Solanum lycopersicum: one gene and its partners. The main gene of each other region encodes a partner of the protein of the gene in region 2 in a complex. Links are inferred from orthologs where the notes say so. Each region holds a gene or a part of one and is shown on either strand. Other genes may lie near its edges. The genes, in order: serine/arginine-rich splicing factor SR34A, serine/arginine-rich splicing factor SR45 and splicing factor U2af small subunit B.

Region 1 (4,368 bases), on a different chromosome or scaffold from region 2:
CCATTTACTAATATATTGTTTATTTTGATGTACTAAAAATAATATGAATCGCATGATTTCTAAAAGTAATTATTTGGTTACACAAATACCGTCAATAATACAATGAAAAGAATGTGTAAAAAATTTTGAGAGACAATTATATATTTAACCATGCTAGTACATTCATCATAAATTCTTGCGTAACTGACACAATTCATTATGTACTCTGTCTGTCCAACGATAGTTGTGTACTATTGACTTGGCACACCTATAAAGAAACTATAAATAGAAAGACAATTTTACTATACCACCCTTTGAATATAACAATGTCTTGAAAAAATGTTATAGGAAAATAATTACAATTGATAATAAGGATAACTTAAAAACTATATGTAAAATGATTCAAGGATTATATAAAGTGGACAAGTATCGCGACATCTATTTTTAGTACACTGGACAAGATTGAAGGAAGAAATTATTAATTATGCATAACATATTACTAAATAAAGTACACAAAAAGTGAAAATTATACCCAAACAAGATATTTAATATACACAAAGCTAATTCATGCATTATTTTTATAATACATCCTATCAAACAACGTGTGTATTGGTCGATTCAATTCAATTTTATGTATTATCAATTTGATTTTATCGATTTTAGATATGCTAAAACCAACTTCGTTTTACGATTTATCAGTTTTGATCCTTAACGGCTGAGTATTCGATTTAACCAATAAAAAATGCTTGTAAAACAAATATGACTTCTTTAACAATAATGTAACTTGTTAAATGCTCATAAAATATAAACAATAACAACTAACATGAAAAGATTATACAAGTGTAATACAAAGAGAAGTTAAGAGGAAAGAAATTTACTTTAGATTTTGACGTTTTGTATAATGTGAAGTTGTCCATTCAAAATCACTCTCAAGAGTAAATAGAATGCAAAATGACAAAGATAGTAACTATTCTCTTGTCCTAATTATTTGTCCACGTTTTATTTTATAGCTATTCCTAATTACTTATCCAGTTTGACAAATCAAGAATGAACATTTTTTTTTATCTATACCTCAATGAAATGACTAATTAATTTGAAAAGTGTAATTTTTTTTTATCCACTTCATAATTAATAGGGGTAAAATGATAAATTCATTACGTCATGAATTATTTTCTTAATATGTGTGTCATTTTTAAACTGGACAACTAAATATTGACCGAGAGAGTACTAACTAGTGATGCATTGATATTAATATTTAATATTTTATGTACGATAAAATAGTAAATTACTGTAGTCTTATGAGTTATTAATTTATCAAATAATCCAATATTCAAAAATCAAAATTAATCCGATAAATCAATATTTTTTTTTATTATACCATTAGAAAACTGTCAATCTAATAAATAACACAATAATAACCAATCAATAATATATTTTTTAATTTTAATTTATCGATCGATTTGATTTTTGCACAGAGAAAACTGAGATTCCAAATGGGAACTTGTGTAAATAAATCAAAGCTGAAGGGTTAAAAAGAGCTAAAATAAAAATCAAGGGAACAGATCCTACTCTGTTGGGTTTTATAACCAGAAAAAAGCCCTAAAATTAAGAACTCTCTGGAAGAAGTGCAGCACAGCACCAGGAGAGAGAACCCGACAAGAACCGGAGAAGAAGTTGAACATCAATTTCATCTGAATTTCGCCGAGCCCTAATTGAAATTCCAGGTAATATTTAGAAGATTTTTTTCTCACAGCTCTGTTCTAAGATAAGGGCACATTTGTTAATTTCTAAGAAGGGTCGAGGGTGGAAGAAACCCTAGTTACGCATCTGTAAAAATCTTACCGAATTTAGCTATTTCTGTATTTTCTGGATGTTCTGTGTTGCGAATTGATCGTTTTCTGTTTGTGGCAGAAATGGGTTCATTTCGTAATCCCAGGGTTTGTTTTAGCCTGGGTGTTGCTTCTCATTGTTCGTTGGCTTTTGCTAGAAAAGATCGAACTTTTATGGGTCATATTTGTGATGTTTCTTGTGTTACATAACAGTGTGATAGTTTTTTTTTTATCAGTGAAATTCTTACTTCAATAGCGTTTTTCCCTTCAGAGAGCTGCAACCATCATATCTGGAAGAAAATACTAGCAATAGTGGAATAAAAAGATGAATTTCTAATCGTGTAATAAGAAAATTCGGTATTCTTGGTATGGCAGAGAATATTTTATGGAATAGTTTTTTTACTCATTGAATCGTTCTCCAATGTTTATTTCCTCAATGGTTGAAAATTCACCACCAAAAGGGTGAAAACAACTTACGTCATTTTCCATTACGAATATTCTGAATCTCACTCTGTATCACTTGATTCATCCAACACATAAGGTTCGTTGTCAACTTTAATATACAAATATCTCAGCAAAATACCATCCTCCATCTTTTATGATTGCCGGGGTGGAGCCACATTACAGTTGACGGGTTTGGTAGGTTTGGCCCACATCATGTACTTTATATTCAAATTTTCTTTTAATATGTATGCATTATTTATCTAGCCTTGGTGGACAGAGTTACCGGTACCTGTTACTTGTTGCTGGTGGGGGTGGCAGTTATCCGTGGAATTAGTCGAGGTGCGAGAAAGCTGGCCAGGACACCATGTTCATCAAAAAGAAAATAAATTTATCCCGATTCCATTCTCTTCATTCTCAAAATAAATAAATAATTTATCTAGAACCCTTTTAGAAGATGCGGATGCCTTTTGTAAAATTCAGAATCTATAAATTCAATCCTAGCGCGTTTAATGATCGCCATATGATCCTGTTTTTAATCCAACCATATATTGAAAAACTATTTGGACGATGATCTGCCAAAGTAAATTCTTTTTTGCTGAAAATATGCTGCTTCATATCCAATTCGCATCTTTGTAGTCTCCACAGTTCAAAGTTCAAACAATGTTTTACTGACCATTGGTAACCTAAAAATCTTTTTCTTTTTGAGAATTGGTGACTTAGAGATCTTATCGAATCTTAGGTTAAGGGAAATAACATCAGTTGCACTAAACTGGTTTTATGTTAAACTTAAACAGGAAAGGTATATATTGCATGCCTTGTAGGATAATTTCTCAGTGATCTTTAAAATAATTAAGAAAAGGGAAAATGCATTAGTATGTCGCGATCTCACCTCATCTTATGACATAAATGCTTTCTTTATGATAGATTTCAAGCGCTTGGAACAAAAATGAGCTTTGGAATCATACATAGGGATGTATTTGGGGGAGTGGGACAAGTCAGGGTGGAGTATTTGGGTTTTATGTATAGTTGGAGGTTCTTCCTCACTCTCAGAAGAGCTATCATCTGCAAAAATTTTGAGTGGATGAGGAGATCAAATATTAGTTCAAATAATTTTTGCTTGTGGAGCATCTTGGAGCATATGAGCAATGGAGCTTGTGGAGCATTAGCTTAACTTGGGATATTTCTCTTGGTTTCATAATTTTTCTGTTTGAATCTATAATTTTGGAGCATCATGGAGCATTTGAGCAATGGAGCTTGTGGAGTACAGCTCAATTGAAGGATTGCTCTCTTGGTTTGCTTCAGAATTTTTCTGCTCGATTCTGTTATCATCAAGTCAAATACAGAATGATATAAATTTATCCATAATTGTTTAATTATTTCTCTTCAGTGTTTAGTGGAATCATGAAAATTGTTTATAAGTTACATCTGTTTGCAGTTTTCTGTGAATCCTCCCTTCATTGCTGAGAATGAGTGGCCGCTTTTCACGCTCAATCTACGTTGGCAACCTACCAGCAGATATAAAGGAACTGGAAGTTGAAGATCTGTTCTACAAGGTCTGTCACATTCACTTATTTAAACACTTAGCTGCAAAGGCTTATTTTCTTGTGGAGAAGTTAGTTATTATCAATCGTAATTATCTCCTAGGGCTCTGGATTCAACCTTCAATGCATAAGTTATACTTGTAAACAACAAAAAAACAACAGCCTCGCATCATTATAAAAAAAAAAACAAACAGCCTCACCCGAGATTATATTGCAGATGAATGCATTCCTAGATATGCTTGTTCCCTGAGTTTCATTACAATGCCATCTGTATAATGGATTTTTTTGATTTGCCTCTTATATGTGAAATTTTAGAACAAGAAAGCCTAAGTGTAGTTTCATAAGAGAATCTGTTGCAGTACTAGTATCAATATTAGGTTGTGGTTGAAAACAAAGTTTGATGGTGAGGGAGGCTTCTTCTCTGGTATCTTGCACTGCATGCTCCTTGCCTCTTATTTTTCCTATTTTAGATTCGGTCTTTCTTCCATACTTGCTACTCTAGGCTTTAGGCAGTGGTGCTCAATACCACTAGTATTCTGTTTACCCGATTGAGGAGAGTAAACAGTTGGGAGGCA
Region 2 (4,097 bases):
TTATGCACCTGTTCCATTTTGTACCCTATCTTCTATAATTGTTATTAAGCATGGTATTTACCAATTGCTTAAAGTTACAAATAGTCTATAGTCATGGTTAATAACCACAACCAACTCTCTTCTCTTGATCTCCTAAATAACAATTAGCAAGATTTGATTGAATTATTATTTGTACCAATCTCTGTGGAGACGATCTTTATGCTATACTATCTTTGACTAGTGAAGCGCTAGATCTATAGTTCTTTTTTTTTTTTGAGAACATGAAGCGCTAAATCTATAGTGTGTTTGTGCTCGTCAACTAACTCATAATAACAGGATTAGACTAGAACGTCTGACATATAACCAGGCTAAATAAACAGAATAAATAGAATCTATAACCAAAAGGTTGGACCATTTCACAGTAATGAACTAGAAGTTGGCGTTCAATTCTTTGGTTTTAGACTCTTCACTTGTTGAAGTACCAAATACCAAACCGAATTTCAGTTCTGTTAGGTTCTTCTGTATGGACCTGATATAATGGGCTATTTACCCTGGACGGGCTGTTGGGTTATCAGTTGACAGTTACAACCCTAGCTTAGTGTAGAATTTCTACAACTCAGGCAAAATAAACTTCACCTAATCAAAAAGAAGTGCAGAACATACCAAATATTTCTTTCAAATGGTTTTCATTGACATTCCTGCTGAGTTGATCCACATGAATTACACGCGACTCAGGTATAGGAGATACTTTCCTGGAATCAGATCCCAAGTGTTACACATCAAAAAGCCTATCAATGCATATGTCAGAAGTGCTACATGCAGTAACATTTTTGCATCATCAGAAGATATTGGTATTAGTAACTATCTTTATCAACTGCATCCAAAATGGATGTGATGCATAACTGAATGTTGCACCAACAGCACGCATGTCTGAGTAATTGGGATGGAAAGGAATTGAAGAGCATTCGAAATCATTTATGAACAATCGTGTCCAGCTGCAATGCATTCTCCAAAAAAAGATCTGATAAATGCAACTGAGTCCACATTCAAAATAGCTCACAATAACCCAGCACCCTACTGTATGTTAATTTCATTTGGAAGAGGAGAAAAACAAACCAAGAAAAGAAAGGTATCCCCCCCCCCAAAAAAAACAGAAATTTGGATGTTATTGGAAGAGGTTTATAAGTAGTTATTCAATGAATAAACCAAAGTCGAATCTCAGCTTAAAAACAAACAACATTACCTTGGAGGTGGAGAAGCTTTCTTAGACTCTGGTGGTGGTGGCGGCGAGCGGCCTCGCTTAGATACTCCAGCAGGGCTAACAAAACCATATAAACAATAAAGGATAGGGTTTAGGATCATTCAGAAATAGGACGATTGGTGAAGTACTTTAGCTATTTTGCAAGATAGAAAACTAATAGAACAGCAACATTTCAAGAAATTTTCATGCTAGTCCAACCTGTCTAAGCTCAATAACAAATAAACAAAAATATATGACGACAAAAAAGAGGCCAATCTTCAAGATTAACCATAGTATATCTTGTTTCCAGTTTTCTATTCCAGTCATGTGCCTACCTCAACTTCTCCACAAGCAAGTACCTGCTACCTCACGTATCGGATGACTCTGTCTATCAATACTTAGATATCTAGCTTAGACAGATGGAAAGAAATAAATAACATAATGTCTTTTGTCTCTGTTGGATTTGAAACTTGGTCTCCAAGATTTTCGCCCACTTCTTTCACCACTGTGTTACACCCTTGAGTTGTGTTTCCAACTCTATTTTATACAGTCGCGGAGGATTGAAATCAGTTTCTTGTTGTCTAAATGGAAGAAAGGCAAGAAAAGCAAAACCGATGCAACCAATATTCTAGTTTTGCTACTTGCATGTTGGAATAACTTAAGAAAAGCAGCAGGAAATGCCATAAATTATCAAATATAAGCTATCTGCACTTGCAGAAGCGAAGTGCAGCAGAGAATTATGTCACATGGCCCAGGAATTAGAGGACACAGCTTAACACTCTTCAGACAGTGGAAAGGTATGGAACAACTATGAATTACATAGCAAAAATAGCCTCTTGACCTATATAATGTTTGAGATGCAAAACTACAGAACATATATCCATTCTATATCTAACCAGACGACAATCAGACTCAGATTCAGCAACTAGCAATTTTAATGCGACTTGGTGCTACTTGTGCCCGACTCTACTTCAACCATAAGACTTTTCTATGTCATAAACCTCGCAAATCTAACATAATTCAAGCAGCCATAAGCACATTAACCAACAGCAGCAACTACTTCACCTCAATTCAAAGAAGTTAAAGCATATTTGGGCTTATTTCTCCTCTATAGTTTGCAAGTTAACTCTCCGACATCAGACATTCTGATGGCATACGAATCTCAAACTACCAGTATCACGTAATAAAAAAGAAAAAGCGGGAAATTACTACAGAAATGCATTATGCAACTAATACACATTTGAAAGAGAGAGTAAAAACCTTTTTCGTTGAGATGGAGGGCGACGACTAGGGCTGCGAGAACTTGCACTCCGGGAAGCAGAGGAAGATGAAGAAATTGATCTGGAGCGGGATCTAGATCGAGATGGAGAACGCGAACTTGAGGAGCGAGAGTTTGAAGGAGTGTAAGAGCGAGACCGGGAACGGGAACGAGACCGGGAACGAGAAGACGAGCCTGACGGTGAAGCCGCACGGCCTCGACCTGGTTTCGCCATTGGCAACAGCTTACTCCGAAACCCCAGTGATAAACCCTAATAACAGAGAACTGTCGACAGAGTACATTTGGGCAAAAAGGTTATCAGCTTCTAGCCCCGAAAAACAAATGGGCCGAAGTGGGCTGTATCCCCAAAGAGTATTCACTGGGACTTACGAGTCGTTTGATAGAGTATACATTGATCGTTTAGTAAAATATTTTGTAATAATTGGATTAGTAATATTTAGATATTGTAATAATTGGATTAGTAATATTTAGATATATTTTTAATTATAATTTGATTAAATATACTAACAGCAATTCTGTTCTTAATCATGTTTATTTATGTATAAATAGTTTTTGTATAACTAATACGATAATTTACTACTTTCTCTATTTCAAAAAAAATGTCCCTGTTTCTTTTTTAGTCTGTTTCAAAAAGAATAACCCCTTTCCTTTTTTAGTAACACTTTAATTTTAACTTTTCACGTGGTATATTTAAAACCACAAGATTAAAGGGCATTTTGATACATTTGACATAATTTTAATTTAGAATCACAACATTAAATTTTTTTTTTCTTAAACTCCGTTCCTAGTTAAAGGCCTTTTTTTTTAAAACAGAAAGAGTATTATTTAGTTATATACCATATAATACTAAATAACATAGATCAATCATACATAAACTTAAAACCATACTAAATAAAGAATTATTAATTAACAAATGACTATACACATACTAAATTTCCTAATACACTTGCCATTTTGATTTTCTAATTCTAGTTCGTACACATTTAGACAAATTATTTGTTTGCATTTGGACTAATACCACTTTAATAATGTTGCGCATATCTCGATCAATAATTATCAACTATATTCATTAAGATTTGAACAGATAGAAAAAAAATTTGATTTGAACATGAAACTTCAAAGTAAAGGTTAATGTATACAACAAGTAATATAAAGTCGAAGAGTTTGAGATAGTTGAGAGACTTTTTTTTGAGGAAATGACATCCTAAAAAGGATGTAATTTGAGCTATAGGAAACCATTACTTAATGCCAGCCACCACACAGCAAATTATGGCTCACAACAAAGATCAGTAAACTAGCCATTATATATACATTGTTTCCTTAATGTGGACTATGTATGACATACAGATAACAATCAAAGCAGGGACAGCAACAAGAGGCAATGACTCGAATGTCCTTACTCTGGTTGAGCGAAAATGAACAAGGTCTTAACACCACGCGTACTTTAGGCTTATAACAGATGAAGCTCACGAAGTTCAGAAGTAGTATAATCAAAGCACATACAGAGCTGTACAAGTATATTTCTCGTAGAGAAGTTCCCGTATCAGCTCAAACACAGAGTTGCTGATAATCGATCATGACAGCTTGTCAATATTGATT
Region 3 (4,213 bases), on a different chromosome or scaffold from region 2:
TGTTCAATTGAACACTCTTGGTTGTATGTAGTTATGAACCTGGTCCAGATAATAAAATTCATACATGACACGTTCTTTCACCATTTTGAATTCTTTTGTCCTCTATTCAAATATTTTATCACTGATATGGTTTGAAAGAATAGAAACTTACCGGCATAGAATCTCCCAGTAAGATTCTTCAGTGCATTTGCAGCCTGCTCTTCCTCACTAAACTGAACATAAACATTACCAACCTGCACAGGGTACATTAATACATAGTTGAAACCCCCAGTCACAGTCAATGGATGACTACAAGAAAGCACAAAAAACCTACCATGTGATCAGCCAGATTGTCACAAATATTCAGGCTCTCAATCTCTCCATACTTGTTCAGTTCTTCAAACAAGTCTTCATAAAAATCCTGCCACAGTACCATACAAGTCATATCTCAAATATCCAATTGGTTACATCTCATATATTTTCTAAGAACACAAAGTGCAAAGCTATTTGCTAACTACTACGCCCTTCATCCCAAAATAAGTAATACCTTAGCAAAAAACTATTTCAGGGTGGAGGGAGCATTATGGACCACTAAAAAGCAATGCCCTGCTTCAATTCCAATTCAACATAAAGCTTACTCAAAAGAAGCAATCATATCATAAAACATGTCAAATCCAAGATCATTCCTTAATCCTTACTATAATACCTACAAGAACGATCTTTTTACATGGAACACACAAATGGTCGCAACAATGATCAATATATAAAATAGAAGACACAACTAGGTATACCTTGAAAGAAGCAATTATATCATAGAGCATGTCATATCCAAGATCATTCCTTGCTAAAAAACCCACAACAACGGCTTTTTACACGGAACAAACAAATAGTGGCCATAATGATCGATAAAGCACAAGGACCTAACTGGGTATACCTAAAAATAACCAGTCATATTTCATACCATAGAACATGTCAAATCATGGATCATTATAATACCTCTACACAACAGTCTTTTCTTTCATGAAATGCACAAATAGTGGCAACTATGACCAATAAAATAGACAAGTAACGAAGAAAAAACAATTGGGCATACCTCAAAAGAAGCAGTCAATATCACAAAACACACAAAATTCCCGACCATGCATACTACAATATCTTTCACAAAATTCCATTTTTTTCCATGAATTGCACAAATACTAGCAAGAATGACCAATAAAACAGACAAGTAAAGCAGAACTTAACTGGCTAAATCTTGAAGGGAAGCAATCATATCATATAACATATCAAATTCATGATCATTCCTTACTATAATTCCTACAACAACAGGTTTCTTTTACACGGAACACAGAAATAGTGGCAACAATGATCAATAAGACAGAAGAACTTAACTGGGTACACCTCAAAGTAAAGCAATCATATCATAAAACATATCAAATCCATGATCATTTTACACGAAACACACAAATAGTGGCAATAATGATCGATAAAACAGAAGCACCTAACTAGTTACCAGTTTCAACCACAAAAAAAAAAAGAAAAAAGAAGCATCTAACTGGGTATACCCCAAAAGAAGCAATCATATCATAAAATATGTCGAATCACGGATCATTCATACTATAATACCTCTACAATAACAGTCTCTTTTTTTCATGAAGCACACATATATAGAGGCAACAATGACCCAATAAAACAGACAAGTAAAGCAGAAGAACTTAACTACCTTCTAAAGAAGCAATCATATCATATGACACACAAAATTCATTATCACTCATACTAAAACACCTAAAACAAAGGTCTTTTTCCTGAAATAAGCAAATTGTAGCAACAATAATCAATAAAATAGACAAGTAAATCAGAAATAAACCATTTGGGTATACCTCCAGAAGAAGCAATTGTATCATACAACATATCAAATGCACTATCATTCCTTACTATAATACCAACAGTAGTCAATACAATAGACAAGTAAAATCAGAAAAAACTAACTGGGTATACCTCAAAAAGAAGCAATCATCTCATAAAACACAAAACACCTAAAGCAAAGTTCTTTATTTATGAAACAAACAAAATGTAGCAACAACAGACAAGTAAAGCAGAAAAACCTAACTGGGTATACCTCAAAAAGAAGCAATCATATCATAAAACATGTCAATCCAGGCAACATGATGGGCATGAAAAGCAGAAAAAACTAATTGGGTATACCTCAAAAAGAAGCAACCATATCATAAAACACACAAAACTCATCTATGGTTCATACTAAAACACCTAAAACAAAGGTCTTTTTTCATGAAACAAACAAATTGTAGCAACAAAGCAGAAAAAACTAACTGGGTATATCCCAAAAGAAGCAATCATATCATAAACCATGTCAAATCGTAACAAAAACAGTAATTTACAGCAGAATTACTTAATGGGTATACCTCAAAATGTTCCTGGATTTTGCGAGGATCAATAGGATTGCCTTGAGCATCAACACCAGGGGTAATTGAATCAGGTCTTTGATACATATTTGAGAGGAGAATCGTCGGACTAATACTGGGTTTCGTGTGGAGCCTGGAACATCGATCTCCATGTCTACAAGCACCGATCTTGAAGTAGAAAGGGCAATTCACTCTATCTTTTTCGGTACCGAAAATTGAAGCTAAGTGTTCTGCCATTACCAATTTGAGATTCTGGAAAGTTCTCTTCTTCTGGAATTGTAGAGAAGAAGAAGATGAAGATGAAGATGAAGAGGGACTATATACGATGAAGAAGCTTCTAGATAATTCTACACAAAATTTGTGATTAGATAAATTGAGAGTGAAATTTGTAAATGTTCAGGTGGTTTGCCCGAGTGGTTAAGGGGGAAGACTTAAGATCTTCTGCACATAAGTGCGCGTGGGTTCGAACCCCACAGCCACCATATCCTTTTTTTTTAATTTTTCCGCTGAGTACGACAACATTCGATGGTTTTAGGTCGTTGGAATACGTAAAAGCTACTCCTTTTATGTTACGTTTTATATTCGCCCCTCACCCCATGGTCACCATACCTTTTTTTCATCTTTTCGGTGGGCAATGAGAAATCAGTGATGGAGTACGTAAAAGTTATTGCTTTTTATGTTACGTTTTATATTCGACCCCATGGTCACCATACCTTTTTTTTTGTTTCTCTGGTGAGCACGACGACATTCAATGGGTTCAAGTCGTTGGACGAGAAGCCAGTGTTGGAGTACGTAAAAGCTACTTCTTTTTTTTTATTATATTGAATAGATTGATTAGTGTATAACTTTTTTTTTATTTCTCGACATTCATTGAGTTCAGGTCATTGGATGAGAAGTTAATGTTTGAGTATGCAAATTTTGTTATGTTTTATATAGAGCAATCTTCACATATAGCAAACACAAAATCCATATTTGTATGCTATAGTAAAATTTGTATAATTGTGCTCCATAGAAAACATAATATTTTATATTTCGTTATACATATATAATTCACTATACATATACAATGAAATCGATTGTATAATTTGCTATACATAAACAAAAGAAAGCAGTTATACACAAATCAATTGTATAATTTGTGTATGTTTAAAACGAGAAAGACAAAAGAAAATTAGGCAGTGGAATATTTGTATTGTATAATTATCAGTGTATATAGGATGAATATATATGTATTTGCATGTGTATATACAATTTTCTCTCGCTTTTACAAACAGAAACACAATTTATACATTTCATTTCTATTTGTATAAGCGATAGAGGCGAGGGTGGCGAGCGAGATCTGGGAGAGGGTAACAAAAATATATGTATATATACAATTTTTTCTCGTTTTATACAAACACAAACGTATTTTATATACTTGTGTTTGTATAAAAAAGTGAGAGGAGCGAGCGAGAGATGAAGCAAGAGAGGGAGAGTGGCGAGCGAGAGTTTGAAGAAAAGAAGTAACCGACAAACAGTTTGTTACATGCACAATAAAAATCAAAATGTGATTGTATCATTACATATAATTTAATAATTTGTCATTATGTATAATTTTCTCATTTATATATTAGATAGACCAATTAATGTATAACTTTTATTATTTCTCTACCAACAACAACATCCGATGAGTTCAGATCATTATACAAGAAGTCGATGTTGGAGTATATAAAAGCTACTCCTCTTTGGTTTTTACTTTTTCTAAATTGAATCAAACGATTAACGTATAACGCGATTAATAAATGATGCGACGGTTCGATTTCTTATTATGACAT

Evidence for each region.
Region 1: serine/arginine-rich splicing factor SR45 (region 2) and serine/arginine-rich splicing factor SR34A share a complex: the UniProt entries of both Arabidopsis thaliana proteins name them as parts of the spliceosome. The link is inferred for Solanum lycopersicum from reciprocal best matches to the Arabidopsis thaliana genes SR45 and SR34a.
Region 3: serine/arginine-rich splicing factor SR45 (region 2) and splicing factor U2af small subunit B share a complex: the UniProt entries of both Arabidopsis thaliana proteins name them as parts of the spliceosome. The link is inferred for Solanum lycopersicum from reciprocal best matches to the Arabidopsis thaliana genes SR45 and ATU2AF35A.

The regions. Positions count from the first base shown.
Region 1 is NC_090802.1:49,075,761-49,080,128, reverse strand, and holds the start of serine/arginine-rich splicing factor SR34A, read left to right. Parts: upstream 1-1,519; 5' UTR 1,520-1,703; intron 1,704-3,176; 5' UTR 3,177-3,543; intron 3,544-3,687; 5' UTR 3,688-3,718; coding exon 3,719-3,805; intron 3,806-4,368. UniProt on the Arabidopsis thaliana protein: Probably involved in intron recognition and spliceosome assembly.
Region 2 is NC_090809.1:751,323-755,419, forward strand, and holds the start of serine/arginine-rich splicing factor SR45, read right to left. Parts: upstream 2,813-4,097; 5' UTR 2,713-2,812; coding exon 2,480-2,712; intron 1,298-2,479; coding exon 1,223-1,297; intron 732-1,222; coding exon 643-731; intron 1-642. UniProt on the Arabidopsis thaliana protein: Involved in 5' and 3' splicing site selection of introns, and may bridge the 5' and 3' components of the spliceosome. Isoform 1 is required during flower petal development and isoform 2 is involved in root growth.
Region 3 is NC_090810.1:58,042,201-58,046,413, reverse strand, and holds the start of splicing factor U2af small subunit B, read right to left. Parts: upstream 2,819-4,213; 5' UTR 2,637-2,818; coding exon 2,400-2,636; intron 401-2,399; coding exon 314-400; intron 234-313; coding exon 152-233; intron 1-151. UniProt on the Arabidopsis thaliana protein: Necessary for the splicing of pre-mRNA. Probably active at the 3' splice sites.